4 linked regions of the Pelodiscus sinensis genome follow. The protein of the gene in region 2 interacts with the protein of the main gene of each other region in a pairwise test. Links are inferred from orthologs where the notes say so. Each region holds a gene or a part of one and is shown on either strand. Other genes may lie near its edges.

Region 1 (7,871 bases), on a different chromosome or scaffold from region 2:
AATATGCATGATTAATAAGGGGGGAAATCCTAAATTTATCAAAACTAATTAATGCATTAAATAAAGTAACTATCTGTAGTTAATTAATTGAATTGGGGGGGGGGGGGGGGTTTCATAGACTTGAAAGCCAGTAGAGATAAACAGACTTTCTGTACATTGCCTACTGAATAGCCTGCTGAATAGGCCAAGGAGTCTAGCATGTAAACAAGTCATAAACTCAAACAAAAGCCAATGAAGGTTGTTTCTAGTCAGCACGTCCTTCAAGATTTGAACTCCAGCTAATCTCATCTTCTCACACCTCATTTTTATTCACATATTACAAGAAGAAAAACAAGCTTTTCTTTTTTAACTCCCAATCCATTTTTCAACTTTGAATGAATTAATCATTTAATTTAAATGAATTAGCTGAATAAAGAAGAAAATATAGTCTATTCACCTGCAGAAGAGACTACTGCAGTCAAAAGCAGGTGTTCACCCAAACCTGGTTCCAGGTCCTTAGCCAGTGGTTTCCACTAAAGGTTACAGAACTAGCAGGAAGCATGTTTTTTTTAAAATGTAGTTCAAATTACTTTTTACAGATTATAGTGAATTTAGTCCTTAATATAGGTTGCCACGTTTTCACATTTTAAAGAGGTTTATTTTGAAAAAGAAAAAAATAAATGTTTATCAACCATGACTAAATTTAGGCAACAGAACTAGAAGATGGTAGTGCAGATCAAGATTATTTCAATCAGCCCAATACAGTTATCAAATTAGAGCACATGAAAGTTGCTTTTATCAGGAAGTGCTAAGAGCCAGATTATTTTGATTAAATGGGAGAGGCAACACTTATTCCCCATTTCACTAATATGGTTATCCAATTTCTGGCCAAAATCTCAAAGGATCAAAATGTCAGATCAGAAATTTGGAGCCAGATTTTAAAGGTGCAGTTGTAGTATCTATGTTCTATATTCCAATGAAAACTGAAGACTTGAAATTCAGCAGGCTCCCCTAGAATCCCAGTATAGACTGTGTTTTTTGTAGTAGTGTTGCATTGAGCTGCAATAACATTTTTTGTTTGTAGGTTTTTGATGAAGCATTGGAAAATAAATTTTATATATTTAAGCTGTATAATTTGCAAGATAGGGAACAAAAAAATAGCCAGTTCCACCTTCCAGCAGATCCCAAAGATTAGCTTTTATGGCACACTGATGTCAGGATTTATGGGCTTAGGGGGCTATTGATGCAAGAGGAATACCTAACTTAGGCCTGGTCTACACTACAGAGTTAGATTAATGGAAGCTGTCTTATATTGGCTTATTTCTAAAAATTGCTACACTACAATATTGCTCCTGCTTGTGCAAGTCACCTAGTATACTGACTGAACAACTTCATCTCTGAAAAAGGTGTGACAATTTTGGTCAATATGGTTTTGTCAATGCTGCATTAGCATTGACACTACATTGCTTACATCAGACTGGCAGTTAAAAGACCAGAAGCCCACTGTGCTGAGCTGATACTCAGAGTAGTAGCATTCCAGCTGCCAGGGTCATCACCTGATTGGAATTTAATCAGCGTGGTTGGGCTTTTTTATGGATTTGCCAGTTGCCCAAAAAGTTCTTTAATCTGTGAGGGGTTTTTTTTCCACATAGGTCTAAAGCAACATTTAGTAATAGTCACAATACACTGGGATATCTAAGTTAAAAGCTTCTCTGTCCTGCTAAAGGTGCTGCAGTACTCCTACTTCCACAGCTTAAGAAAACTGTGCTAACATTATCTAAATGCATTCTCTGTAGATGCTGTAAATAACTACTGAGGGGTATGGGTTGCAGCAGCCTTGCCCAGGGAAGGAAGAGGGAAAGATTCCTTCTATCACAAATTGAAAAATAATAACTCTAGCTGGCTGCCTATCCTGGTGGAGCACTCCAGCTGCCAGTGCACTATCATGCCTCACACTGACAGTTAAATTATTGCAAGTGTAAGCAGGGTCTGAATCAATGCTTCCATTACAGCAGGTTGGAACGGGAAAGAAATCCTGGATGTGTTTATGTAAATACAGTTTGCCCCTGATTTGCTTAGATGTGTTAGATATTCAGCTGTTACAATAGTGTTTTGCTCATTGTAACCAGTTTGGTTGTCACAGAGTCACAAACTGTGTTGACACTAAATTCAGGAATTTTGAGATATGATCACCAGTGCTTGCAGTTATTGTAGGAATGCAGAAAAGTCAGTCTGTGTTTAGCTCAGTTCAAAAGGAGAGAGAATGTCAGTGTAAAGAACCTTGGATACACAAGGTCTCACCTGCCAAAGCTTTGTGACCTTATCTGGGGGAAGAGTAGAATGCTCTGAATCGGCAAGCTACATGCCCTCCAGGTGTGAGCTATAAGATGGGTTCAACCTGTTCCCCCCTGCACTCTATTCTAATGATAGAACTAGAGCATATGCCATAAGGAGTCTCTTTATTAGTTTAAAATTACTCTAATGTATGCTGGAATTTCTTGTGGCTGGACTGTACTTTGGGCCAAGAATTGAAATCACTAAATTTGGCCCAGAGCCAAATTCACCACAAGCCAGTGAAAGATGCTGACAAGTGGTTAGCAGAGTGTCGGCAGCACGATGAACAGCCAGCAGAGTGACAATGGAGAAGCAAAAAAGCAGCCAGCAGGACAGCGATGGAGAGATGTAAAGAGCGGCCAGCAGAGCAACAGCAGCAAGGTGAGACAAATGGCCAGCAATGCAGAGAGCAGCTGGATGGTAGTGACTAATGGAGTAAGATGCCTCCTTATCTCCCCCCACTCAGGATGAGAGGCGAACTCTGCAGATGCACCTCTGAACTCTGGGTTTGTCCTGACCAAGGACAGCAATTGTGAGTGGTGTGCAGAGAAGGATTGGGCACATGAAGGGGACATTTACATTGCTGGATTTAACAAGTCAAGAGGAAAAGGACAGTGTCCAACCTACTTGGGGTAGGACTGTTTCTCATGGTTTTGGTTACAAACCATGTGTTTTTCCCAAATTAATGACACACTAGTTCCCTCCCCTTTTATTAAAGGTTTTTTTTCTCCACTCAGACTCTCTGCTTGGAGTGGGGAAGCATTGCCTCTCAGAGGCACCCATAGAGTATTGTGTGAATTTCCCAGGTTACTGAGTGGAGGCTCACACCAGTTTTATGTTGGATGGATGCAGAGGAACCCTTAGATATTGAACCCAGTCCTGGCTGCTGCTGGTGCTACCTGGCAGAAGACTTACACAAGCACTCTTGGTGAGGGTGCACAATACTGACAGAAGGTGCAAGTGCTAACCTGCAAAAACGTTTTAAGTACTGCAATAGCCACAGGTTGATCTAAGTCAACTTAATTTTGAGGTGTAGACTTACACCCAATTTCCACCTCCCCAGTAGGAGTTGGGAAGGTAGGACCCCAAGAACCACGATCCTTTCCCAGCATAGGGCTGGCCCCCTTCCCCGGCCTGAAAGCACAGCAGCCTCCATACTCACTTCTTGGAACACCTTCCAGAGGCTCCTGGCTACAGCTGCACAGTACTGGGAAGAGGCGAGAGGACGCTGCCAGGCCCAAACTATCTCGCAGCCCTGATTGCCTGCTGCAAGGTGAAGGAAGGGCCCCTGGGAGCTGCTCACCTGGGACAGGTGCAGCTGGGAGGGATAGAGGGGTTGTCCATACAAGTGCCTGATGTTTTTACACACGTCAACGCCATGATGGGTTTATTATTCGGGCCCCAGTGGCTTTGCCAGACTGTGCGAGAATATTGTAGTGCCTTTTATTCCCCACCTTCACTTCCTATCAGGCACACACAATAGACGCCGTTAACGTGCGGCGCCGCAAAGCGCGGGGAAGTTTTCGCGACGGTCTGGCAAAGGGAAGAAGCCCGAAGGAAGGACCCTTCTTCTTTTTGGTTCGGCCGGGGGAGGAAGATGGCGGCTGGGGATGTGAAGTCTGTGCTTTTCGTGTGCCTGGGTGAGTGCGGGGCGGCCGCGCAGGGGAGAGAGGGGCCGTTCCGGGGCAGCAGCCGCAGGAAGGGCGGGCTGGGGAGGGGTAAGAGTAGAGCCCGTGCCCTCCCGAGTAGGTTCCCCCCAGCTCCCCAGGAAGCAGATGAAGGTGAGTGACTCAATGGAGGGAGGATAGAGGTGCACCCTGCGTAGCTGAGGAGCCCCCTGCTCCTTTAATACGCAGTTCGAGTCTTTCCTATCCACGTTCCCCTTCCTAGTCTGCTTGCTCACTCCACTCCCAAGGAGCTGTGGTCTGTGCCCAGAGGCCTTGATACAGGGTCATAGTACGTGTAGCCGCAGGCTACATGTTCATGCTTAGTATCTCCCCGATAGAGTTTGCAGCGAAGGTTCTGGTTATGATACTATCGTGTTTTTATGGGTGAGCTATTTAATGGGGCAGAGAATATGCATGTGTGTGTGACACCAGGTTTGGAAGAAAGGCTGTAAACAAACTTCTGAATTTCCTGAAATAAACAAGATAAACATCAGTGAAGAGAAATGAGAAGAATTTCACTTAGAAATAGGGATATTGGATATATATTAGATAGCATGTAATTTGATGCAGTTACATAATTACTGAATTGTAGTGGTTACATGACTATTCAATAGTCCCTGGGAGTGGGGTCAGCCCTAGTAAGCTCCTAGCCCCGCTCCTGGAGAACCTCCTGCCAGGTCCCGCTCCTACATCTATAAAAAGCATCTCCTTGCACAGACTGGCACAGAGCATCCTCTGTCCGCGAGGAGCTTGAATCCACCAGAAACAGAGGCTGCTGCTGCAGAGCAGCCTTTGCAGTGGCAGCAGCGCCGGGGAGGGTGGGGTGAGTTGGTGGGTCTGTGTTGTTGATGCTCGGGGGAGTTGGCTCCTTGCATGTATCAACTCCTGCCTGCCCCCCTCACTCTCCTCTCTGCTGCCTCTCTATCAGAGGCAGCAGCACAAGAGTGGGGATGGCATGCAGATCCTGTGCTCGTGGAGAGACTGCTTAAAAGCCGTCACCCCCCCCTTGCTGCCTCTTATTCAGAGGCAGAATGGTGTAGGGAGGGAGGGATACATGTAGCCAGCAGGTTTAGCTGATAAACCTATGGTTATCGCTTAATCGTGTCGTTGTCTACACACTGACATCATAATATAAGAGTGTGGCAAGCTAAGATGATCCTTGAGAAGGCCAGTCTTCATTTGTTAAATTAGACCTGTTATGAAACCATATCTGCCTTGTATTTATAATGAAAAATTGATATTCATTACACAGCAAATTACAGTTTAATGTCTTCTGTCTACAATTAATTAAACAGCTAATAACCACTAATAGAGCACCTCTAGATTGTAAACTCTCTGGGGCAGGGACATGGCTTGCTCTGTGTGTTTAGCTCAGTGTTAAATAATACTAGAGAAATTTGGGAATGGAGAGAATAAATCATATTAACTATTTTCAGGGAAGGATGAATAAAGTCTGAAAGAACAAGTGATTGATCTGAAATGATTGTAATGAATGTTAACTCCCTTGAATGTTTTCCTTATATTAGTTACCCAAAGAGTTGGAGTCATATGACAACAAAGGCTGAATGATGTGTGGGAGAGCTTATTTTTTGTAATAAATGCTGACCTGTCAGTTTCATTCATTTAAAATATAATTTTAAGACTGAATTGTGCTTTCTTTCTGCCATTGTTGAGTTTTGTGGTGTTTTTCTACAGGTTTTACCTGCCTTAACCAGGACTCTCTGGTCTGGCAACATCCATGGTCTGGCAGGACCAGGGATGTTCCTGGACCAGAGAGCCCAGGTATAGGGAGGTCTGGCCATGGGGGCGGCAACTCACCAGGGAGCCCCATTGGGGAGGGAATGTGTGCAGAGGGGTGGGTGGTGTAGCAGAGACTTCTCCCTGTGGCCAGGAGGTAGTAGGGTTCAGCAGTGGCCGCAGAGCTCTGGCCCCAGCTGCAGCCAGGGAGCTCCAGCCCCGGCTGCAGAGTTTGGGGTCCCACAGTGGCTGTGGAGCTCCAGCCATTGGAGCTTGGGGTCTGGAAATGGCTGTGGAGCTCTGGCCGCAGAGCTTGGGATTCAGCTGTGGCTGCAGAGCTCTGACTGCGGAGCTTAGGTCTGGCTGCAGCAGCTACGGAGTTCCAGCCTGACTAGCCATGGCCAGGCAGGCAGTAGCAGGGCCAGGCAGTAGCCCTAGCTGGGGCGGAGGCAGGCAGCAGAACAGCACAGGCCATGTTGGGAGAGACCTCCCCTGGTATGGAAAATCCCCTCGTTCAACTTGTAGTGGTCTAAAATTTCCTGTGCTCTAAAAATGATCTTGATAGACTATTAACATTAAGTATATGTAATATTTTATTCAAAGAATAAAACTGAGAGTCCAGTCAATTCAAAATTATAAATGTTATTTTTAATCCACACTTTAAATATCTGAAACTTTCAATAATTCAAGTGTTCAGTTGTCTGAGGGGTGAAACAGCCTATCATTTCTGAAGATACTCCTATGCTCTTGAGAGTTAATTCCACAGTGTAAAAGGGTTCAGACAGTCAGATTGTTTTCTTATGCATTTGTTTCGGAAAAAAAAATAATAGTCAAATATTCACTTATCTGCTTTCTGTTTATAACAAGAGAAACTGATATTCATTATGCAGCAAAATATCTAATTAATACATGCCTAATTAGATCATTGCTGATTTTTTTTTCTTCTCAGTGAACTATAAATTAAACATACAACAATGCAAATAACCCAAATACATAAAAGAGAAATTGGGACTGAGAAAAGGAGAACAAGTTGAAGTTTTTATTTAATTTAAGGGTAGACTTTTTAAAAATATATATATATATATATATATTCTTTTTACACTTGTATAGTATCTTTTGTTGTAGGTGCTCATCCATTAATTTTCCTAGTGCCAGTAACTGGCAGATTATACCCTACATGCAGATTGTTAAATTCTGTGTGTCTTGTAGTTGATTTTATCCACAGGCATGCGACAATTTAGAGCTCCTGTGTTCTTTCCCTAACTTTCAGTTGTCTGCTCTATTCTCTAATCCCAGGGTAGGCAATAAGCAGCCCACAGGCTGGACGTGCTTTACCATGTCAGGGTTAACCCTGGCAAACTACATCCAGCCCCCCTGAGTCTCTTGTTGCCTACCCCTGCCTTGCTGTATGTTTAGGAGTAATAAACATTATATTTTACATAGTGATTGAAAAGCCTCAGCCATATGGACAATAGCTTACTAATATAAACTTAGTTCTTTGCTTGATGAAAGCTGTAGAAATAATCACTTTTGTTTTCTGCTTCAGGTAGAAGGGATTAAGGGGACATGTCCTTACTATTAAAAAGTAGTGAAGAAAAAACATACCTTCTGGAGAAAACTGTTATGCAGTCATTTGGTTTCCTCACACATGAAAATATTTTTTTAACCTTTTTATAAAAGCTTTTGCAGCTGTATTAAGTTATGATCACAGAAACTCACATAGCAAGGATGTCAGCCCAGATATGTATTTGAACAGGAGGCCCTGATATACTGCCAAAAGTGTATTTGGTGATGCATTAAATGATACTCTCCTCCAATAAATACTGGAGCAATGACTTGTCTTAATGCCTCTTTACACTAGAGAAATTTGCTCTAGGGTAACTGCATCTAAATCTAAAATGGGGTTTACACAGGTGCAGTTAACTCTGGTAATTTCCAATTAAGTTGCATTGATGTAAACTACCTCTGTAAAATCCTGTTGAATTGGTTAACTGGTTCTATGTAATATGGAAAAGGTTGTAGAGCAGTTTTTAAACTAAGGGCTGGGTAAAAGCCGATGGGTGCGGAGATGCACATGGATTAGACAGAGACATCTCTTAGGGGAAGGTCTATTAATAGAGATTTTCTATGTTCTAGTTAGGAGTGGATGAAAGA
Region 2 (7,929 bases):
AGAGACACCAGGGCCAGGGTTTTCAACGGGCCCTGAGCCAGGTTTTCAAGGGCTCAGCAAACACAGCGGAGGCCTGATTGGCTCAAGGGCTGAACTCACCATAAGCCGAACAGGAATCTGGCCCCCGTTGCGGGTGTTTGCCAGAGTCCCACCAAGGCTCGTGCGCCCCTGACGGTGAGCGCCGGGTGGGGGTGCTGGGTGCCCCGCCTGGGAGAGGTCGGAACAGACCCACCTTGTTTCTCATCCTGGATCGGGGCAAGAAAGGGCAAAAATGTCTCTCGCCCCAGTAACGTGACACGTGCCGAGGGCGCTTGGTCCGGTTTGTTTCAGTTCTGTCCTTTTTATGTCTTAACCTGTTACAGAAGCTGTTGTGGAACCTGGAGAGCACCAGGCGCTCCCCGCCAAAGTGGAAATGCAGCAATGGGCTGTTTCGGCCATTCCCAAACTACTGCGCCCGAACCCAGCGATGCGTCCCCACCGTCCCTCCCCGGACAGCTCCGCTTCGACCAATCAGAGCTCTCTGACGAACAGAACTGCACGGGGCACCTCCCACCGAGGTCTCGCCAGCAGCAACAATCGTGAGCCCTTCCCCAGTGCAACGAAAACGAGCGTGTCTGTAGCTCCCTGCAGCGCTAGGACTCTGCAATTACCCCTCCAGCGCAGCAAATAGCCTCTTGCCCGAGGGTGGGCAAGATAAAGCCCATGGCTGGATCCAGGCCGACAGCCCTTGTAATCGCCCCCCCCCCCCCCCCGGGCAGGTAGCAGCGCTGCTCAAAGTGACTGGCTGCTCCCTGTGGCTTCTGTGCTGTGGTGGGGGAGGCTTCGTGCGATCCCTGCCCGCAGCAAATCGCTCACCCTCCATCGGCCAGTGGAGCTGAGAGATTTTGCTGGGGGCAGAGGCACTGTGTGAAGCCCCCCCCGCACAGAGAGCCACTTGGCACAGAGCGGTCAGGGGCTGCTTAAGTAAGTGTCCCCCCACCAGAGCCTGCCTCTGGCACCGCACCCCCTCCCACACCCCAACTCCCTCCCAGACCCTGAACCCCCTCTCGCACCCCTCCCCCAGGCCAGAATCCTCTCCTGTGGCCAGAGCTCCTCCCAGACCCTGCACCCCAATCCCCTGTCCCAGGCTGAACCCTAAGCTCCCTTCTGCACCCAGCCTCCACCCCGATCCCGCACCCCATCCGTAGACAAGCGCGGCTCTTGATCCCTCACCAAAATCTTGGCGTGGCCCCGTCGAGAGTTACTGCCCAGCCCAGCTCTTGCCCACAGTGAGTGGTGAGGACCCAGCAGTTACGACTCCAAGCCCCTGCTGCCTGCACCTAGACCCCGTCCTCTCTCCAAGCAGAACTCAGGAGTCATGATTTTCCATGTGCTGTCAGAGCACTCTCCCCTCCCAGCACGGCAACTGGGATCCTGAAAGTCAAACTCCCCTCCATTGCACTAACCATTAGACAACACTGCCTCTAGAAAGAGCCAGCAACCCCCACAAGCAAACCTCTGTCTGAGGCTGGCGAACCGTCACCTCTTCGGCCACCCTCCCACATTCTGCCATCTGGCTCCCAGGTTAAGGTCGTTTCTGGTGTCTCGACCCGTGTGGGTTGTGCCAGGAACGGTGCACGTCTCTCACCACCGGCGCACGAGAGGTCGGAGTGTGAGCCAGGCTACGCAGGCCCGGGGCTGCCACGCTCGTGCCCCCCTGAGGCCTGGGCCAGCTGCCGCCCTGCAATCCAGCTGCTAGTGCAGGCACAGACGTGTGCCAGGCAACGTGTACAGGCCCATCTGGTGCGGGCACACGGGGCCGTGCGGGTGTGGGCAGCGTAATCTCTCACCAGTGGGCCGGTCGGTTACCGGGGCGGAGTTGGCTCCACTGAGCTCTCCCCACCCGCAGAGCCCGTCCAAAGCCACCCGCCGGGGCAGCTGGGCGCAGAGCGGGGACGTGACTGGCCAGCAGGTGAATGGCAGAGGTGGGCTCCAGCTGGCATAATAACCACCGGTCCCTGCACCCTGTCTCCCCGCTAAAACAGCCCTGCACCCCCCCTTCCTCTTAACGCCCGGCCCCTGCACCCCCGCCTCCCCACTAACTGGGCCCCTGCACCCCCCTTCCTCTTAACGCCCGGCCCCTGCACCCCCCTTCCTCTTAACGCCCGGCCCCTGCACCCCCGCCTCCCCGCTAACTGGGCCCCTGCACCCCCCTTCCTCTTAACGCCCGGCCCCTGCACCCCCCTTCCTCTTAACGCCTGGCCCCTGCACCCCCGCCTCCCCGCTAACTGGGCCCCTGCACCCCCCTTCCTCTTAACGCCCGGCCCCTGCACCCCCCTTCCTCTTAACGCCCGGCCCCTGCACCCCCCTTCCTCTTAACGCCTGGCCCCTGCACCCCCGCCTCCCCGCTAACTGGGCCCCTGCACCCCCCTTCCTCTTAACGCCCGGCCCCTGCACCCCCCTTCCTCTTAACGCCTGGCCCCTGCACCCCCGCCTTCCCGCTAATCCAGTCCCTGCTCCCCCTGCCTTCATGCCCACACCCAGGGTCCCCCCAGAACTGCAGCTACTCCGCGTTAGTCGCTGCCCTCGCGGCGAAGCCTGGTTACCACCGGGCCGTTCCCCGCGCCCGCTCCGGCTGCAGAGCCGTCGGCCCGTCCAGGCGGCTCCTTACTTCTGCCGGAGGCCGTTGGTGTCCTCCAGCAGGTTGTCCCGCTCAATCTCCAGCCGGGTCTTGGCATTGGACAGCTGGTCCACCTGCCGGCGCAGCTCCCTCAGCTCCTCCTGGTAGATGTCGGCCAGCTTGGTGGGCTCCTTGTCCCGGATCTGGTTGAGCTCCGCCGCCAGCACCTTGTTCTGCTGCTCCAGGAAGCGCACCTTCTCGATGTAGCTGGCGAAGCGATCGTTCAGCTCCATCATCTCCACCTTCTCGTTGGTGCGCGTCTCCTTGAACTCGGAGTTGAGCGCCTCGGCCAGGGAGAAGTCTGCCTTGCCCGGGGGGACCCTGGAGCTGGCCTGGATGCTCAGGCTCGAGCTCCTCCTCTTGGTCATGGAGACTCGGGGGCTGGGGCTGGGGGAGAGGAGCCACATGAGGGGCGAGGCCCGGAGGGGCTGGTGGCCGGCAGCAGCCTGCGGGCCGAAGCGGCGCCGGTAGGAGGACAGGCGCTGGCTCTCCATCCTCAGGCTCATCCTCCCGGCTGTGCCTGAGCCGGGGCCAGCCTGGGAACTCTCCCTGTGCAGCCGGGTTTATAGAGGACCAGCCCGGGGGCGGGCGGAGGTGGCGTTGTGAGCCAGGTCCTAGAGCCCGCCGTGTACCAGGCCAACTGCCCAGGCCCCTGGCAGGGGAACAAAGGACGGCAGAGCAGGCAGAACGCCTCGGCTATTGCTTTGGGCCAGGAGAACAAACGCGGAAGGACCTGCCCCTGCCCCTGCTCCCGGAGCCCCGGCCCCTCTGGTGGGCGGGCACCAGCTTCCCATGAACTCATTTCGTGGCTGCGTGTTCCTGGCAGGCGGCTGCGGCAGGGGACAGCCTGGCCTGCCCGTGCCCCTTCCCAGCATCCCAGAGACTGGCAGGAGTGACCGCAGCCTTTCCTGTAAGCACAGGGCGTGCCAGGCACCGCAGCCAGGCCCCGGGACACAGCAGCGCTCCCCGGGCAAAGGAACGTACAAGGGATGTGTGTGCAAGGGCACGTCAGCAGGGCTCCCCGGGCAAAGGAGGGTGCAAGGGACGGGTGTACAAAGGGCATGTCAGTAGGGCTCCCCTGTGAAAGGAGTGTGCATGGGACGGGTGTTTAAAGGGCACGTCAGCAGGGCTCCCCGGGCAAAGGAGGGTGCAAGGGATGTGTGTGCAAAGGGCACGTCAGCAGGGCTCCGCGGAGAAAGGAGTGTGCAAGGGACAGGTGTACAAAGGGCACGTCAGCAGGGCTCCCCGGGAAAAGAAGTGTGCAAGGGACGGGTGTACAAAGGGCATGTCAGCAGGGCTCCCCGGGCAAAGGAGTGTGCAAGGGACGGGTGTACAAAGGGCACGTCAGCAGGGCTCCGTGGGGAAAGGAGTGTGCAAGGAACGGGTGTACAAAGGGCACGTCAGCAGGGCTCCCCGGGCAAAGGAGTGTGCAAGGGACGGGTGTACAAAGGGCACGTCAGCAGGGCTCCCCGGGCAAAGGAGTGTGCAAGGGACGGGTGTACAAAGGGCACGTCAGCAGGGCTCCGTGGGGAAAGGAGTGTGCAAGGAACGGGTGTACAAAGGGCACGTCAGCAGGGCTCCCCGGGCAAAGGAGTGTGCAAGGGACGGGTGTACAAAGGGCACGTCAGCAGGGCTCCGTGGGGAAAGGAGTGTGCAAGGAACGGGTGTACAAAGGGCACGTCAGCAGGGCTCCCCGGGCAAAGGAGTGTGCAAGGGACGGGTGTACAAAGGGCACGTCAGCAGGGCTCCCCGGGCAAAGGAGTGTGCAAGGGACGGATGTACAAAGGGCACGTCAGCAGGGCTCCCCGGGCAAAGGAGTGTGCAAGGGACGGGTGTACAAAGGGCACGTCAGCAGGGCTCCCCGGGGAAAGGAGTGTGCGAGGGACGGGTGTACAAAGGGCACGTCAGCAGGGCTCCCCGGGGAAAGGAGTGTGCAAGGGACGGATGTACAAAGGGCACGTCAGCAGGGCTCCCCGGGGTAAGAAGTGTGCGAGGGACGTGTGTGCAGGGGGTACACGTGGCTGTGCGAGGGGTGGATGTGGTTTTGTAGGGGGATGGGAAGGGTGAGCATATGTCCGGGATGTGAGGGCTGTGTGTGGGTGTGTGAGTGTGTACAAAGGGTGTGCACGCTGTGCACGTGTGTGCAAACTGAGTGTGTGTGGATTGTCCTCGGGATGTGTTTGCTTCCAGGGGGCGACGCCAGCGCCAGTGAGATGGGCCCTGCTCCTGCCTGCCCCCCGCCCTGCCCAGTGCCAGCTCTGCGCGGCCGTCCCGGCGGCTCCCCGCCAAAGCGACCGGAGCACAGAACTTGGCTTTGTCTTGACTAGAAAGAGTCTTTGAAGTGTCCAAGCCGCGCCAGAAGCTAATTACGAGACTCCCGCTCCGTGTCGCTGGGAGCTCTGGGCTTGGCTGCCAGCCCAGCGGCTCTGGGAACGCTGCGGAGACGTGCGGCTGCTCCCGGTTCTCCCCGGGATGCTGCCGGGCCCAGCAGGGCGAGCCGGGCGGCGCTCAGGGCTCCGGGGCCCTGTTCCCAGGCCGGGAGGAGCGCTGGCGGGCGGAGCAGGGCTGGGGGCAGGCCCTGCGGTGCCCGGGCCTGAGAGCAGGTAATTGTGGTGGCCGCACGCTGGGCGCCCTCGGTGCCAGCTCAGCACAAGGACCAAAGCTGCATGGGAGGCGGCAGGCCACCAGCCAAGGACGCCGAGTGCCCGAGGCGCCGGAAGGAGGGTCCTTGGCGGGGCTCCCGCCACCAGGCCCTTCCAGCTCACACTGGGGCTGGGCTTAGTCAGGACGAATTTGGGAGGGGGCCAGAGACGTTCTGGCCACTTGTCCCCTTCCCGTCTCTTGTGGGCTCTTCCTGGCCCCGGGGGTGGGAGTTGGGGGCTCTCCGGGCGGCCCAGGGCCTGGGCTCCCCCACTGCCAGCCGGCGGCGCCCTGTGCCTGGCCGACAGGGACATGGTGCGCCGGGAGCTGAGCTGAGCTGGCCTCCCGTGAGCTCTGCGAGGACCCAGCGGCGGCAATGCACACGCTCCTGCCCCGCCCCTTCCCTGAGGCCCCGCCCCTTCCCAGAGACCCTGCCCCGCCCCCTTCCAGAGGCCCCACCCCCTCCCTCACTTTCACCAGGCTGGGACCGGGGGTGCAGGGAGCAGGCTCTGGCCGGGCGGCAATTACCTCAGGCAGCCCCTGGGTGTTGGAGCCGCAGGGTCCCTGCCTGCCCTGGCCCTGCGCCGCGCCCGGAAGCTTCCAGCATGTCCCTGTGTCCCCGGGGGGGGTCGCGCTGCACGCTGCCCACACCCGCAAGCGCCGCTCCCAGTGGCTGCACTCCCGGCCAATGGGAGCTGCGGGGCTGGGGCTGGAGGCGGGGCCAGCGTGCAGAGTCACCTCCCTCCGCCAATCTGACCGGGGTTCAATTCCTTCCCAGCCCCAAACATGGCAGCCAGACCCTGAGCAGTGGGACAGACCCACCAGGCAGGCCTGGGCGAGAGCCCCGTGCAGAGCCGCAGAGCCCTCCCCGGCCGGCCTGGCTCCCGCCGGTCGCTGATCCCCGTGGCTGGGGCCACGTGCCTGGTCAGCAGCCTCCTCTTCCCGGCCCCCAGGCACGCGGCCAGCTCCGGCTTGGGCCAGAGACCGGCTTCGCGCCACGGACGGGCACAAACCGCCCTCCCGTTTCACGCCTGGACATCTACCACCGGGGCGACTGGTGAGAGGGGGATGGGACACTGGCCCCACCCCCCTCAACACCACGCCTGGCCCCTGCTCCCCCCTCTCCCCACCTCCTCCCACCCCTGCTTCCCCCTCTTCCCGCCCCTACTCCCGCCTCCCCCCACTCCTGCTCCTCCCCTGCTCCCCCCTCTTCCCGCCTCCTCCCACCCGTGCTTCCCCCTCTTCCCGCCCCTACTCCCGCCTCCCCCCACTCCTGCTCCCCCCTGCTCCCCCCTCTTCCCGCCCCTACTCCTGCCTCTTCCCGCCCCTGCTCCCGCCTCCCCCCACTCCTGCTCCCCCCTGCTCCCCCCTCTTCCCGCCCCTACTCCTGCCTCTTCCCGCCCCTGCTCCCGCCTCCCCCCACTCCTGCTCCCCCCTGCTCCCCCCTCTTCCCGCCTCCTCCCACCCCTGCTCCCCCCTCTTCCCGCCTCCTCCCACCTCTGCTCCCCCCTCTTCCCACCCCTGCTTCCCCCTCTTCCCGCCCCTGCTCCCGCCTCCCTCCACTCCTGCTCCCCCCCTGCTCCCCCTTCTTCCCGCCTCCTCCCACCTCTGCTCTCTGCCTTGTCTCATCCCTGCTCGCCCACTCCCTACCTCTGCTCCCACCCCTTCCTGAGTGATGCAGCCTGAGTGGGTCCAGGGCCCAGGGCTGGGATCTGCCCCCACCCTCACCAGCCACAGCCACTGAGCCCCTCTGGCCCCTCCTGCGGCCACCTGGCTCTGCCCCCTGCCGGCCAGAGAGTGGGGGGGCAGACCCCTGCTGAGAATGCCAGGCCCCTCACTAGTCCCCGGGCCACCCCCCTCTGCCCCACATGGGAGAACCCTCGAGTCGCCCTGTCGGCCCCCAATGCCACGAGCCCCTCTCCCTCCCCGAGTGAGCCGAGAGCTCTGGTCCCCCCCCCCATCGCCTGGTCCAGGTCCCGGCGCCTCATCGCCCCTCGGCCCCTCGGCCCCCGGCCCAGCTCCAGTTCCTCTTCAGCCTCCTCCCCCCACCCCAGCTGGAAATAGCAGAGCCCCTGCTCTGCCCCCCCCCCCCCCGCTGCCTGGGGCCCTGCGCCCTGGGGCCTCACTATGGAGAGCCAGAGGCAGGCTCAGCTATGCCCTTCCTGGGACAGCTCATCCATCCGCTTCCCGGCCAGGAGCCGACAGCTCCACAAAGGCTCTTTGCTGGGCCCGGGCCACGGCCAGACTCGGCTCCCGCTTCTGTCCAGGGTGCGTCCCGCCAGCGCTCAGCCAGGGACCAGCCAGAGCCAGCCCAGACGGGCCCAGGGCTGTGGGAACCCAGCACACGGCTGCCTCCGAATAGGGTCCCTGCGGGCCCTCCTGCCCCCACCCCCTTTCCAGACTCCTCCAGCCTCCTCCATGCAGGCGGCAGGCAGAAACCAGGGCAGGAGCCCAGGGCTACACGGCCCCCTTCCCCCACCCAGCCAGAGAGCCAGCACCCCTCTGCCCCACATGGGGAGGTGGAGAATCACAGAACCATAGAACCCCAGGGCGGGAAGAGACCTCAGCAGGCCAACGAGTCCAGCCCCCTGCTCTGGGCAGGACCAACCCAACTAAATCAACCCAGCCAG
Region 3 (8,136 bases), on a different chromosome or scaffold from region 2:
TTGAGTCCCTTCTATCCTGAGCTATACTTAAAACTTATACTAGCTTAGCTATGTTGGTCAGAGGTGTGAAAATCCACACACCCCCGCTGACATAGCTATGCTGCCAAAGCCTTCAGTGTAGATGCAGGTATATTAACAGAAGTGGGCTAATGTCCCTAAGGGTATGTCTACACTACCACCCTAGTTCGAACTAGGGTGGTAGTGTAGACATACCCTCAGGTAGTAATATTACACCTGTGGAAAAACTCCTTTGGATGCACACCTACAAAACTGGGCTGTGCTAGCACAGAGAAGGCTTTGTGGGTTTGGAAAGGGGTTTTAAATCTTTTGCTGCTGGTCATTAGAGCACAAATGTCTAGATAATGTGCTTATACCACAATCTTAACCTGTATTCTCAGGTACCAAAGATCTCCGCCCACTACCTATCTAATTGCCAGATCTTCCAGCTTTCTGCCCTGATGACCTCTACAGTGCAATGATGTACAAAAATATTTTCACACTTTGGAGGAAGTTACATATCTTGAAGGAATTACAGAAACAGTAGGTTGCTGTATGGACTGGGTTCATTACTTTCCATTTAATTCATTGAAAAACTCAAGTTTTTAAGTATTAATTGATGCTGAATTTCCAATCTGTTGCCCCAGCCTGCCATGCAAACCAGAGCACTTTCTGGCAGAATTCAGGGCCAACTGACTGTGTAGCCAGATGGGTCTTTGGGATATTACTAGTCGGTGGGATGGAACTCTTCTTTTTTTTTTCTTTTCTGTGCCTGACCATTATAAAATGCACAACAAGGGAAAATGTAATACATGGGAAATAAGGTTCACTCTGGGGAGCAGGTCCAGGGGGAGGCAATTTCACTGTTCAACAGCTCCTGCCAAAGAGCTATCCTAGTGAGTGTTGTGGTTTACTAACACATCTTTCTCTGACTGGCTCTTCAAAAAAATCTGTGTAATTATGTAGTTAATGACTGATAACCCTTTGGATGGACTTTTGTCTGCTTATCACTAAGAGAAAAAGCTGTCATGTGACCAAGGCAAGCTGTGATGTACAAATTACACATTAATCGCAGCCCAGATAAATACGGTCCATGTGATCACCTGTCCTGCTGTAAAGATTTCCTAGGTACTCTGTGTTTCTCTCCTTATGCGCCAGACCTTGTGGATGATATATGTAGAAACTCTGTCTCGTTTCAGCTGTCTGGTATTCTAATCAATTCAGGTTTGTGACTCTGAACTACTCTCTCTGACCACCCACAGGATGCTAGCCTAGGTCAGCAGAGTCCATGAGAAGCTTTGTGACTAGAGAGAGAGCTATTCAAAATAAATTGGGCTCGTTTATAAAGAAATAGGCCCATGTTGCAGGGATGGTCTGGCCTGGGACTTTGTGGGTGTGGAGATAATTAACAAGACTATTTCTAAGAAGCATTGACAAAATTTGTCCAAGATCCCATTAATGCCAGCGAAGCTCTAGCTGCTGACTTGTCCCTCCAAATTGTTCTCTGTATTGTTGCTATCCCCCTAAAGATGGATAGACAGGCCCACATGCACATATCACTCTTAACAATCAGATTATAATCTGGAATAATTATTCCAGATTAACTCTCTGTGTGACCCCTCTCATTCTGGTGCTATTTAACAAAGTCAGAATTTAAGATACTCTTTTTCTTGAATAAGAGTGCCCGCAAAGGTTTGCAAGGAAAAGATGCTTTAAATTCACACCAGATTTCATAATAAGTTAATTTTCATGTATAAACAAGCTCAAAAACAATCTCCTCCTCCCCGTTTATTAAAAGATGATTGCCCCTATAGGTGAAAGGATATGGGTGAGTTAGGTCAGCTAGCATATTGAAAGTCAGATGGGCACAGATGTGTTATGGAAGCTGAAGGAAGATACAGTTTTGTCAGCTTAGGACCCTGCCCATAGCTGGAAAGATTGAATATACTGCAATACTTAGCACTGAACATATCCACAAAAGAGAAATTAAGACTGAAGTAAATTCAGTTGTAGCAGGTGCATCCTTTCCTAAACCCAATTTTGAAAATTTCTCCTGGTAGAGATTCTAATCCCAAACACAGCTCTCCTATAGGTAAAGAGGAGACCACAGCACACAATTTACCTGCCTTTCCTTTGAAAAGTCACGATTTGCCCTGATTCTATCCCCCATGCACTGGTATTATGACAAATCCTCCATGTAGACAGGCAAAGCAACCACTTGCCCTTGTGGAACTGACCTGCTTTAAACTGGAGCAGGCTGCATTTGTGAAAATTGCAGCGCATAGTGGCTTGTTCTAAATACTCTAGGGCAGCGGTTCCCAACCTTTTCCAGATGGGGACCCATTTTGACAATGCAGGAAGACTTGGTGACCCAAGGCAATTCAAAAATGGGGGGAGGTGGGGAGGCAGAGCCACCTGTGGAGACACTTTTGAAATGTAATGGCGACCCATATTTGGGTCCCAACCCATAGGTTGGGAAACCCTGCTCTAGGGCTATGTTTACACTGCCCCCGTTTTGCACAAAAAATATGCAAATGAGGCGAAGCGTGGAATATCGCTGCATCTCATTTGCATAATAAATTAGGCTTCGTTTTTGCGGAAGAGGCTTTTGCGCAAAAACCTCTTTGTAAGAGCTGTTCTTCCGCATTTTTTTTCAGGAAGAATGGCTCTTGACAAGAGAGGGTTTTTGCGCAAAAAGGAGCTGTGTAGATGGCTCTTTTTTGCGCACAAGCCTCTTGCACAAAAACAGAGCCTCATTAATTATGTAAATGAAGTGCTGTGATATTCCATGCTTTGCCTCATTTGCATATTTTTTTGCGCAAAACGGGGGCAGTGTAGAAATATCCTAGGAGTTTTCACCAGTCCCTGAAATAGAGATAAATCCCAGCGAAAACCAAGCCGAAGAAATCTGCAGGTGCCGGAAATGGCAGATATTGAACTCATGCACCTCAGGGGGGGAGTGGGGAAGCTAGCATGGGGCTTAATGCTAATACTCCTTTTGCTGCACAAAAGCTTTGAGGAATAGGGGTAAACAACCTAAAAAGGTAACCAGGGTAGTAACTCCTGGGAGGTTTGGGGGCAAGGGTTAGTAAAGAAAGAAGGGAAGTTCTTACCCGTGTCTGCAGGGTGCTGTCCCCTAGGGAATTCTCAGCAGTCTCTCCTGTGGCTTTGCCTGTAGGTACAGCTGAATTTGGACTGTGCAAAGGTTGAGTTAAAAGATTATCTATTTAACTGAGTCTTACTTCATGTATTCACCTCCTTGATAACCTGCCTGCAGTGGTGCAAATCACTTCTCCTTTCTCAGCAACTTTGAATTCTGCTCTGGGGTTTTATTGATCATTATACTGTCAAACTCAGACTTTTACAGGGAGCAGATCCAAGATAAGCCTGATCTTTGCTCTTGGTAAGAGCTTTCCCCTAAAACAGACAAGGGCTCACATAGAGCAGATCCAAGACAAGTTTCAACCACTAGAAATGAGCATTGGCAGGCAGGCTCTGGTGACAGGGACTCAGCTATTGGAAAGAACGCGTCTGTTGTACCTCTACTGGTTATAGTCTCCAAATTAATAACTGCCTTAGTTACACTGTTGCAAAATGGCATTGTGAGGTTCCATGGTTAATATCTGATTGTTTCCTTAGCAAATCAGCTCCGTTGACAAGGAAAAGTAAACTTAAGATATTTGCCTGTGTAACCGTGAGCAAATTTTCTGTGGAATCAGCAGTGGGGCCAACAGCCTTGCTGGGCCCTGAGCAAGGCAGAGCCCCCTACTCTGTGCCCCTGGAAGGGGCGGGGCCTCAGGTGGAAGGAGGCATGGCTGTGGATAGCCACCTTTCAGCACTGCCTGGACCACAGCCTCCCTACCCCTCCTCCCAGCCCTCTGGCAGTGATTTAAAGGGCCCAGAGTTCCAGCTACTGCGGTAGTGGTAGATAAGACCCCAATACTCTTTTGTATTGCTGGGCCCGACAACAGTTGCTCCTTTGGCCCCGTCCTCTCCATGGGCAGGCCTGGGAATCTGTGATGCATTATATCCATGTCTGTTATGAGCTAAAGAATAGGAACAGACAGTCCCAAGAGGCTAGAGGGGTGGAAGTAAAAGGCATCGAAATCTGTCTGAATATTGCATTAATATGATCTTTGCATATAGGCAGGATGAATGTGGAGATGCATGAAAATCTTCCTTCTGGATGTTGGGCATGGGACTCCATATGCATTCTGAGGGTAGGAATTATTTGTATTACAATAGTGTCCAGAGGCCTCAATAAAGATTGAAGCCCATTCTGGTAGGTGCTAGACAAACACATGGTAAGACAGAATCCCTGCTTCAAACAGCTTGCAATGTAAACAGGTGAGTGACAAAGGCTAGATAAGGAAACAGAGGCAGAGAGGTGAAAAGCAACATGTCTGAGGTCACCCAGAAGTTGTGGAGGTGGGACTAGAACCTAAGTCTCTAGGAGCAGCATGCTATTTGGGTAATGTGTCGGGAGGTTTTGTTGATGCAAAGTAGCTTCATTGATATTCACTAAGGGCCAGTTGACTCAATGAGCTTGGTGGATACAGATGAGGCTCTAACAGCCCATGTATTGTTTTGAGAACAGTAATTTGCGCCTCTATGGGTATGTCTACACTGCAGGCTAAAGTCAAGATATGCAATTTCAGCTACATTAATTGTGTAACTGAAGTTGAAGTAGCTTAACTTGGCTCTTGGCGCTGTCTACGCATCAGGAAGTCGAAGGAGGAACTCTCTTGAACTTCCCTTGCTCCTTGTGAAACGAGGGTTACGGAGCTCGGACTAAGAAGCCTGTTATTTCAAAATAGTTTTGAAATAATGGGCTTGCTGTGTAGACACACACTCTGTTGTTTTGAAATAAGCATGCAGTGTAGACATAGCCTATAACATCTTCCAACTGAAGTAGAGGCAGAGATGGCCAGAGGGGCAGAAGAAGGGGGGTAGGCTGTGTGGGTAGGTTCCAGAGGGCAAGCAGGGGTTTGAGGGAGGTAGTGTTGGGGAGTGTCTACCAGCTGAGGGTGAGGGATTGGGATTCTCTTCCTATGGTGAGTGAGTTATAGGAAAATTGGTAAATGGGAATGGGGCTGGCAATGTTCTTTGGGAATGAGTGTGGTGGGTTTGACCCAGCAGCTGGGTAGGAGAATGCATGTGGGTGCACGAACAGTAGAGCAATGAGGTCAGGGCATGGGGCTTTGTGGAAGGATGAGGGTGCAGTATTGAGTGAGTAAGCAAGCATATGGGCCACATTAAAGCATAGACAAGCTAGGCATGTGCCTAGGGCCAATTTGGGGGAGGCAAAGGGAGTCAACCAGAATTCCATTGCACTCTGCATCAGGTTGCAATGCCAATCACTCAAATTTTAACATACTGTCCCTCCTTCATGGCAGAGGGGCCAAACCTGAGTGGGTAGTGAGGTGGCCAGTGCTAATGCTTTTTGGCACTGCAGTGCAGCTAGTTTCTGCACCAGACATCCACTGGAGCTTGACTGCCATCCAGGCTCCGGATGGGGGAATGGGCTGAATTAATAGGCATCATGTAATTGCCTGAAACACCTGGACCTCATAGAATATGTCTAAGGTTGCTGATTTTGGTTGGGTGATTTCCTGGAGGTTTCATCACATGACAGTCTTTAATGAAAGATTAATCTTTAATTCCTGGAGACTCCAGGACAATCCTGGAGGCCTGGCAACCCTATATACCTACACAGCAAGTGGCAGGGATTCTCAATGCCCGAGACTAGAGACTTGAGCTCATGTTACAGTGCTAAAAATAAAAAACATGGACTTTGTAGCTTAGGGAGGAGTGTGTGCTTCATGGGTCATGCCACAATGTCTATACTGCTGTTTTTAGCACCATCACACAAACATGAAGCTGTTGCCCCAGGCTCTGAGACTTTCTGCCACTTTGTTGTATAGATGCCCCCATAAGAGGGGCTGGAGGAACTGATTTTGGGGGAGGAACTACAGTGAGCAAGTTATACTCCTATAAAGGGGCCCTGAAGCAGGGTCTTCCAGAGCAGGGAAGACTCAAAGATATCCCAAAGGGGCCAAGACTGTAAGAGGATTTCAAGGAAAGAGCTTGGGAGAGGCCCCTGCATCCCAGAAAGATTAAAAGATAGCCTGAGCCCAGAGGGTGGGCTGAGGGGGGCCCAAGCCGGGTGTGAAAGAATGTTTTGTTTTGTTTGGACTTCTCTGATCCCAGAAGAGAATTGAACTCTGAGCGTGACCCAGCTAGAGGGCTAAGCCACGTGAATCCCAAGGGCAACAGAAAAAGCCTGGTTCCACAGGTCAATTAATACTGGAGTACTTTTTATCTACTAAGATTATCATTAAGCTGTAAAATGCTTCTGAAGATTTGTGTTATAAAAGAATAAAATTTTAAAAAATGGAGGCAGGGAGTGGTTGCAGTGCCACATTCAGCTGGCAAGGAGAGGCACATATTTGAAACCTGAAGTGTTGCTGATTAATACAGTATCTTGCTTATCTATATCTATCAACCTCCCCACCTGCACACCCTATGGGAAGGCTGGTTTACAAGCATATCTCTAGAGCCCTGCAAATCCACAGATATGCACTTGATATCCACAGATGCGGATATCCATGACTCATTTTTGCAGATACGGGTGCAGCTACAGATATCATTTTGGATCTAGAACCAGGCATAATTTGCAGATACTTGCCTTATGTCCATGGGCAGGGTTCGCCAAGTGGCGGCGAGCCCCACTCGCCAGCCGCACAGTTCTGCAAGCCGCGCATGTGTAGATCGCGCTGCGCATGCGCAGATCGTGTGACGCTGGCTGTGCCGGCTTGTAATCTACTCGCCACAGGCGAGTATATTACATGATTTGTCAAGCCCTGTCCATGGGCATCTGTGGATCATTTTTGCAGCTGTGGATCCCAATTTTGTCTCACCACAGGGCTCTACATATCTCTGCCATTGTGGGGTCCAGATGGTTAGTTCAAAAATAGAAAGTTGATATTCACATAGAATCACCTGATTCCAGGAGCAGGAGCGCTAAGGAAACATCAAGTATGGCACGACTTGTCAATACAGAGGCAGGACAGTTTAATACTGTGATTCTAATATTCCAAGACAAGCAGTGAGTTCCATTTATAACAATGACAACCTTGTCATTCTCTCCTTGATTAATTCATCTTTACCTAAATCCTGGCTGTGGTAGCTCAGGGCCTGGTTAGTGCACTTGCTCGCTCTTGTTCCTTCCCATCTTAGCTATTTGCCTTTTCAGGTTCTCCCATCTGCTAATATTTATGTACCCCAGCCCTGGCCCCCTGAGCCACCGCACAGCAGCCAGCTTTAGCTGCAGCATCTGCCTGCACGTGGCATGAATTTCCCAAGCACTTTGGGTGGGAGGGGAAAGGGACCAGCCAGTAGCCAACGGGGAAACTAGTGGGAGGTGGGTCTAGTACCTACAGCTGGGCTCTGCCCCCTGCCACACTCACCACCAGCAGCAGGCCAAGTGGAGCAGCGGCCCCAGCTTGCAGTGCTCCTTTGGTCACATCTCTTACGGGACAGACGGGACGGCTCCACACTCACTGCCGGAAAGCAGAGCATTGGGGCTGAGGAAGCAGAGCAAGCTAGGGCCACCTTGCTCCACTTGCCTCACTGCTGCTGGTGAGTATGGGGAGGAGGGAAGAGGACAGCCCCTGCTGCCAGCTCTGCTAGTCCCCGAGGCCGCATAGCTCAGGGGAGTGGAAAAAGGTGGAGCAAGGGTGGTGAGAGGCAGGACCTGAGATGGAGGGGAGTTGTCCCAGCCTTTCCTCAGGCTGAGGGGGCACATGGCTGGTGCCCCCTCCTACCATGTTATGTTTCAAGCTTTGCTCTGCAACCATGTAGACTAGAATTTTGGGGTTTTTTTTTTTTCTTTTAAGGGGGAGCAGAGGGGAGAGAAATCAAGGATCTCATACCCCATGACTCCAGGATCTGGGAGCTTACAAAACACATCCACTCTCACAAGCCTTGCAGTAAATCAGAATAACAGATAATTTCAGAATTAATCTGGACTTCTGCATGTTGTTTCTGCAAGCTTTGGCACTGTGGTGGAGTTCATCTGAAATCTAAATTCAACTGCACAGTCTACATTTTCAGAGTTGTGGGTGGGAGCCCAAGTTG
Region 4 (8,081 bases), on a different chromosome or scaffold from region 2:
TGCAGCTTACGAAAGTTACATTTTTAAACATAACTGCATTCAAAAACAAAACAATGCAAAGCTTCAGCGCCCAGAAGTCCATTCAGTCCTACTTCTTGTTCAGCCAATTACTAAGCCAGACAAGTTTAGTTACATTTACAGGAGATAATGCCACCAGCCTTTTCTTTATATTGTCACCTGATGGGAACGGGTGTTCACATGGCACTGTTGTAGCCGGCATTGTAAGGCATTTATATGCCAGATATACAAATATTCTAATGCCCTTTCCTACTTCCACCATTCTAGAGGGCCTGCTTCCATGCTGATGGTGGAGTCTGCTAAATAACAACCCAAAGCAGTGCACAGTGACACACATTCATTTTCATCATTTGAGTCAGATACCACTAAGAGAAGGGGAATTTTCTTTTTTGATGGTGTAAGTTCTGTAGTTTCTGCAGAGTGTAGCTCTTTTACTTTTAGGACTTCTGACAGCATGTCCCACAATTCATCCCTCTCAATGTTTGGAAGGCACTTCAGATACTTAAACCTTGGGTCAAGTACTATAGCTATCTTAAGAAATTTCACTTTGTTACCTTCTTTGGCTGAACAAGAAATAAGACTGAGTGGACTTATAAGCTCAAGCTTTATATATTTTTGGTTTTGAATGCAGTTATGTTAAAAAAATTTACATTTTTGAAACTGCAAGTGCACGATAAAGAGATTGCACTACAGTACTCTTATTAGATGAACTGAAAAATACTATTTTTAGTCTTTTTACAGTGAAAATATTTGTAATAAAAATAGTAGTGTAACATTAGCTCTGTACACTTTGTATTCTGTGTTGTAATTGAAATCAATATATTTGAAAGCAGAGAAAAATCCAAAAAGATTTATAATTTTAAATTCATATTCTGTAATTGTTTAAAAGCAAAATTAAAACTATAATGAATTGCAATTACTTTTTTATCTTGTGATTATTTTTTAATCATTTGGCATCACTGAAGATACTGTCAAATGTTCAACAGTATGGTAGCACTGTAAAAAAAAAATGAACATTTTAGCTCATTCTCTGGCCTTCGCAGATTTCCCACAAGGGCAGACTCTGAATGTATTTTTTCTTTGAATACAACCAGAGAAATTGAGTCAAGTCTGTTTCCTTTTAACATCCAGATGTACATTCTTTTAAATAGTAAATGCCTCTAAACTATTTTCTAAATTGTAACTGCAAAGTAACTTGCACCTATGAAAATAAATGGTAGTTTGAAAGATCTTGTTCAGGAACAAAGATATTTATTTAATCTGAAAATATGTGTGTCTGCAGTTCCATATTACAGATATAATAAGACATGGGTTTGCTGACATTTGTCGCAAATGCTTTAGAATAAGAACTGGAAGAGAGCAGGTGCCCATATGAAACAGAAATATACCCAGCAGTTGGAGTATAGAAAACTGTCAAAACAATATCTGTCTAAATATGCATTATAAAAAAAGATGAACTGCACATGAACTTGAAGGATTGTTTACATAAACAAGTAGAGCTTTTGAGTATAACAAGCCATTTCTTCTAATCAGCCCAGAATAAGAGGGTCTATTATCACCTATCATCTACTAACTTACATTTCGGACACTGTTATTTTCTTTTAGTGATGGGGAAACAATATGCAAGACCAGTTTCTGCCATAAGTTATGCAGTATTTATTGGCAAGCTATGCTGTAATTTAGGAGAGAAAACATGTTATAAATGTCTATCATAGATTTCCAATGTGACCTTGAGCAAGTTGCATGATGTAACCTTTCTGTGACTCTGTTCCCCCAACTGTAAATTGTGAATAATATTCCCCTCCCTTATAGAGGTGTCCGTAAAGTCATGGGGGTTGCACAGTTGCAATTGTATTTTCTACCAAACCCCTTTTGCGATTGGAATTTAGTTACCGAGTCTGCTGGTGTATGAAAAGTAATAGAATACAGGAATTTTTTTTTTGTAGCCATGTTGACTCTGGTAAATCTTTTAAGAGGAGTAAATCTTTATTCTCGTCACAAAGGGCTAGATCGTGCCCAGAATAGGGGGACCATGTGCAGTTGCATTGCCTCACTGAGAGTTTGAGGAGACACTTAACAGAAAAAAATTCTCTGAACTCTCCGACTTTAATGGGAACATGCCTGCTATTTCATTCTTTTCTTGGAGGCAATTTGCTAGCTGGGTGTCTCCATTCTGCTGTGCATGCTGGTTGGGGGAGCATGCTTTTCCCTCGGGGCAAGCAATTTTGCCTGGTCTTTAAACAGGCTAGAGACAGGGGAAGGCTTCTTGTGCCCTCCCAATCACAGCATGCCCATGTAAGAGTCATGTATACTCTGCCAGTGGTGCCAGCCACACTGGGATCTTGTCTGCTGAATAAGTAGATGCTATTTTAAAACAGTCATTTTCAGGTAGAATCATACTTTAAAAGTAAAATGGAAGGCTCAAATTCTGCCCTCAGGCAAAAACCCCATTTGACTTTCAGGGAGCTGCATAGGGTCAATGCAGAAACACATCTCCTTCATAGTCCCATAAATTTTCATTCTAATCTTCTAATACCCTAACTGACTGCAGGGGAGCTACAATCCTTAGACACCTTTTTGTGTGGCTCACAACATAGACTTCAGTTTGCCTTAGGTCTGGCTTCCTACTGAGTTGCATCATTTTATTCACAGAGCTAACCCTCAAGACCTTGCTCTGTTTTTAGTCGGTCCTCATTCTGACTTGAAGGCAAATCTCAAGTGAATGTCAGTAAAAACTGAGGTCACAATTTGTAAGAGTCTGTGTTTTAATATTTTGTTTCACAGCACTTGGATGACAATAGGCACCAATTTAGTAAAATTTAAATAAATACATTGGAATGATAGTCTATATTTAAGGAACTATAGGATTAAAAGTTCTTAAGATCATACTCCGCCCCTCCTTTTACACCTGTGCAGCCTTGTTGACTCCATTGAAGTTGTGAGAAGAGGGTTGGATCCATAATCCTCAATTAGGGGCTCAGTCCTGCTCCATTTTACATAGGCACAGCTGAGTTGTTTGAGTGTAACTGAGGGCAGAAAGTATCTCTGGGGTTTTAAACAAGAAGGATTTTTAAATGAATGGGCTGAGGATTTTCCTCAGGAACCATCTGTCACATTCAATCATCTTTCTTCTTTCTAAAAAATGGCTTTTGAAACTTGTATAAACAGTCCGAGTCCCATGGCACATCTTTCACAGGGGCAGAGTAAGCACCCAAGTAATATCTTCACTTAGTCTCTGACCATATAAGGAGAAAAAATGTATTTTCACTGCAACCAACTTTGGTGTTGACTGTAAAATGCACCCTCAGCTGAAACTCTTCTATTGTACATTTGTTTTAACATAGGCACACCTTGTCATTCCAAAGGGGGAAAGTGCTGAGTAAGTGATCCCCACAGCGCCTAGGCAGACTATCTCCTTGATCCCACAAGCAAATGCTATTGTTTGTAAGATGCTCAGATTCTGCTCTGGAGGGCCTGAACATTGTTCCCATTCAAGGCAATTAGAATAGCACTCACATGCCTAATAGCAGATGCCCACCAGTCTTCTGTTCAGCACTGCCAGAAGCCGCTGCATACATCTGGAGATGAGCCATGCACAATATAAGTCAATGCAGGTTGCAAATGGTTGAGGGCACAAGTAATCTTAGACCCCAACCTCAGGGTGTAAGCAGAGGCCATCTCAGTTGTAGTTCCCCAGCACAGATAAGCTCCTGAACCACTACTGGTGAAATATGGAAGTGGGGGCAGAAAAGAGACATGTCTCCATTTTCCTGATGCTTTGCCGATGGCAAAGTAGTATGCATCCCGCTCCCCCATACTTGCACACCTTGGGGCTCCTTGGGTCAGATCCCTGCCAAAGTTCCTGCTGAGATTATGTAGGTCCACACCATATCCAGAACAGATCAAATACCAAATGAGCATGGAATTTATAATCTACAGTGAAATGCAACAACACTATTCAATTAGATAGGCAAATACAAGGATTTGTCACAGTGGGCTAGATTCTCTACCCCACTCCATTCAGGCTCCATGGAGAGTAGGGGTATGGTGGTTGTAGCTCCCTAATTCTCCGCTGTCTAGCACCAGCCTAGGTCAGTGTTGCAGAGTAGCAGCTCAAATTTATATAGGCATAAGGTACTTCACTAATGTTACACCTGTGGAGGATATTTGGTAGCAGACCTCAACTTAATCATACACACCCTTTACCTCAAGCCTATCTTGTTTGTCTCCTCCCTCCTCTTGTGCCAGGGTTGTGGGGTGCAGCTGAAACAAGAGACATCTTCCATCATCTCTCCCAGGTTTCTGCCAGCGAAGGGATGTAAAGTAGTAAAAATATTTGTATATATTTTGAATGAGTCATTGTCAGCATTCCTAGAATACAAATAAGATCGGATTACACAATGAGTTGTACTGTCTTATTTCAGAAATGATACTATAATTGAATACAAAAAATAAAGCTTTTAGGGTGGGGGAAAGTGGGTGTTTTAGGGGAGCTGTGGATCATGAAAAGTTGCTCTTATAAACAAATGTACTTTAACAACACAGCTCCTAAAGAACTTAAAATGTGCCCCTCAAAACTGGGTGTGGAATGTAGAAAAGAATCCTACTTTAAAACACAGGGTTGCCTTTAACTAATAAAAGAAATCTAAAATTGTCCATTGTCATAGCTTTAACATTGACATTGGTTGCTTTGGCAAGCTTTAAATACTAGGCTGCACTATAAAACCTAAAAATGTCCTGGACTTGAAGTTGTTTACACAAAATATGAGCAGATATAAAGTTACAGAGGTGGGGGTGGAAGAAATGGCTTTAAAACCATCCTCCATGTACTGACGTCACATGGAACCCAGCTGCCGGGAGGATGCCAAATAGAACTGTTTTTCAGTTTGCAAAACTGAAGTTGTGAAGTTAATCAAAGAGAGTTGCAGTGCTGCTCCGATTGAAAAGTTCTCTCTTTCCTGGCTTCTTGTTTTCTTAAAGGATCAGGATTCACAGAACTGGAACTCCTTATCCCATCTAGCTATGCATTTCACTGCTTTCACTACTACACTGAGAAATGGACTGAAAAACTTCTGAAGGATTGCTTACTCCACAAAAGGTAAGGACGTTTGGAAATCTCAGTGATTTTGGAAGAATTATGGCCTTATTTATGAAATAGAAAAGAAAGTTAACAATACTCAGTATTAAGGCAGTAAACAGTTTGACCAAGGTTTCTTGTAAACATCTGCCTCATTTTTATATTTGCACCTAGAGCAATAATAATTTAAAAGTGTGATGGTGGTTGTTTATTTCTTAAAGAAAGGCTGTTCCATGGTTCAGCCAGTGTTTCCAAACCATGGAATGATTTATTAACAAGAAAGAGATGACAGCCCATTTTTGCCAACCTTTTGTTTTTAAATAATAGAATGACACTCTGAGAGTTTCTTATAGGTTTAATACAAAGTGCATAAAAACTATGATGCCGACCATTTCTTTACAAATATATAAATAGACCTATCATTTATTATCCATCCAGAAACCATCACCTTATCTTACTGTGAATTAACCACTCATAAAAAAGAAGAAGATCTGTTTATCTGAATAGCTGTGTATGTCCGCTATCGTTAATCTGTGGTGAAAAATAACACCTCTTCTGATGTCGCAGCACATTATTTTTAGAAGTTGTCATACCACATCAGAAATTCAGTTCAAATTATTTTGCATTTTTATATGAACATAGAGGGGAGGTGGAGGGAAGAAAGAGTAACATTAGAGACCAGGAGTTGCCTAAACTCTTTATTTGAGAGGAGGAAAGGGTACAGTGAAAAGATAAATACAGCTGATGTTGACAAAATTGATTATTTGCATAAAGTTGATTGCTGTAATGAGCTTTTGACCTTGTCTAGGACATGTGGAAAGTGCCAATATAGCCAGATTTCAGACACTGTAATGTTCCACAAGGCAAATGAAAATCATGGTTGTGCTGGGGTGATAGGCTTTCACATGTGAAAGAAAAAGGTATTTTAATAAAAAGGAAGCAGGGTTTTTTTTTCATTTGTTTGTTTTGCTCAAGCCATGTGGAGTACCTGTGGGAACAGCCCAGTGTTTTATACAAATGGTGAGTTTAATAGCAGTATTAGCGATTGGGATCTTATTTCTAGCTTTCAGAGAGAAAGAAGCAAAGAAAGAGACAACTATAGGGGCAGGGGTCAAAGTCCTCTGAGGCAGTGTTTCTCAACCTTTTTTTTAATAAAGTACCCCCTCTTTAAATAAATATATATATATATATATATATATATATATATATATAGAAATATATATATATATATATATAAAAATACCCCCAGTACCTACAGTTTTCAGACACACAATTTTTTTTCTACTATTGCAACACATTTGTTTAAACAACTTAATCATAGCCGGGAAGGCAATGACATTTTTGGGTGTAAAAAGTACAAAAATAATAAAACATTGTAAAATTTAAAACAAAAATTCAGTTATCTCCAAATTTCAGTTGTGCTGACATACCCCTTCCTCCCCCAGACTTCTCTTGAGTACCTCTAAGGGTACTCATACCACTAGTTGAGAAACACTGCTCTAAGGAATTTACTCGGTAGATTTACTGCAGTAGCGGCCATCAGAGCAAACATCAACAATCATGAGCTTCACTATTATTATTTGCATCTTAAGAGGAAACGTGAAGGGAATAAGAAGTGATATGAAAAGGAAAAGAAACCATGAATGAGAGAGAGAAGCACTTTTGATGGAAAATTACAGTTACAAGCAACTAGTTGCAGCTAACTTTTTCTGGGACTTCATTGCATTTTGATAGTTTCCACTCTGTACCCATCTCAATATGTCTTTAGTTTGTTTTTGCACTGATCTTTGCTGCATGTATCTGAATCATTCAAGAGAAGTCAAGTGAGTGAATAGAGAGATCAGTTTGGTTAATTCCTCCGAAGTCTCTTGAATAAGTTAAAAACGTCTATTAAAAAAGTGAATTACTTCTGGTATGTCCTTCTCCTCCCCAATCTTCCTTCCCCCACAACTTTTGTAGTAAATAAATGAAAAAAAAATTGATATGACTAGATATGCTTCATAGATTGAAACAGATATTCAATATATTGAGTTCAGTTGGCTGAAAAAACTCAGAAAGTGGGTGCTGCTCATGTTGCGGATCCAGCCAAATCAATCTTTTTTGCCCAATAAAGGGGTGAGGAGAGCTTTGCATGAGGCTCAAAAGGGAATTACAAAATTAGATGTAAACTAGTCTACTATATATTTGAGAGAGTTTGTGCATCTGTTTGTCTGTCCATCTGTGCATCTGTTTGTTCAAGAACTCCTCCTGAACCATAAGAGTTAGGACTACCAAATTTAGTCTGCAGCTTCCTCTTATCATAATTTAAAGCAAGGTCAGATTTTTGGTTGTTCCAGGACAATGGGATGTGCATGGATTGTGATTGTTTCTCATCAAATGGAACAAGGGGGCTGTGATAGCAGGAGAGTTATACTCCAGAATAACCACAGAGGGGGAGCAAGCAAGCATGCCCCCAGCAGCCTCTGAGAGCCACAGAGCAGCTGCCATCTGGGCAACATGGCCCCCATTGGCCTCAGGGGGCAACACTATCACCCTCTAGGACCCAAGCAACACCAGGTAATTCTTTTAGTAATCACTACATTAAAGGAAACATGTTCAATAAAGGGAGTAGTTCTTCGTGATCTTACAAATTACATTGACACAACCACTGATCACGAACCAATGCAATCTGCAAGTTTATTGTGAAAAGATATGAATATATATGTTCACTTGATTAACACAACTGTCTGTTCTGAAACCCAAATTTAAGGAACACACAAACTGAATACAGTACATCGTACCATGTATGACTACTGAACTGTCACTCCCTAGAATGCATTAATTGATGTGATTCTCACCTTTTGCTTGTGTAAATCAGTAGTAACTCTACTGAAGTCAGTGGAGTTACTGATGTAAAAAACTGACTAAGTGAGAATCAGGTCTATAAAATCTATCACCATTCAATAAAATTTTCCCTCTACAATTATATCATAATATAACAACATTA

Evidence for each region.
Region 1: the proteins of GFAP (region 2) and SH3YL1 interact in binary tests that used the Homo sapiens proteins (3 or more experiments, as listed by UniProt). The two-hybrid records come from large-scale screens. The link is inferred for Pelodiscus sinensis from reciprocal best matches to the Homo sapiens genes GFAP and SH3YL1.
Region 3: the proteins of GFAP (region 2) and PDZK1 interact in binary tests that used the Homo sapiens proteins (3 or more experiments, as listed by UniProt). The link is inferred for Pelodiscus sinensis from reciprocal best matches to the Homo sapiens genes GFAP and PDZK1.
Region 4: the proteins of GFAP (region 2) and KIAA0408 interact in binary tests that used the Homo sapiens proteins (3 or more experiments, as listed by UniProt). The link is inferred for Pelodiscus sinensis from reciprocal best matches to the Homo sapiens genes GFAP and KIAA0408.

Annotation. Positions count from the first base shown.
Region 1 is NC_134713.1:35,446,662-35,454,532, reverse strand, and holds the start of SH3YL1 (SH3 domain-containing YSC84-like protein 1), read right to left. Parts: upstream 3,635-7,871; 5' UTR 3,477-3,634; coding exon 3,476-3,476; intron 1-3,475. Other genes in the region: ACP1 (low molecular weight phosphotyrosine protein phosphatase), read left to right, coding at 3,911-3,953.
Region 2 is NC_134739.1:201,225-209,153, forward strand, and holds the start of GFAP (glial fibrillary acidic protein), read right to left. Parts: upstream 3,218-7,929; 5' UTR 3,166-3,217; coding exon 2,651-3,165; intron 1-2,650.
Region 3 is NC_134711.1:163,350,905-163,359,040, forward strand, and holds the start of PDZK1 (Na(+)/H(+) exchange regulatory cofactor NHE-RF3), read right to left. Parts: upstream 3,253-8,136; 5' UTR 3,111-3,252; intron 1-3,110. UniProt on the Homo sapiens protein: A scaffold protein that connects plasma membrane proteins and regulatory components, regulating their surface expression in epithelial cells apical domains.
Region 4 is NC_134713.1:90,711,822-90,719,902, reverse strand, and holds the start of KIAA0408 (uncharacterized protein KIAA0408 homolog), read left to right. Parts: upstream 1-4,852; 5' UTR 4,853-5,116; intron 5,117-8,081.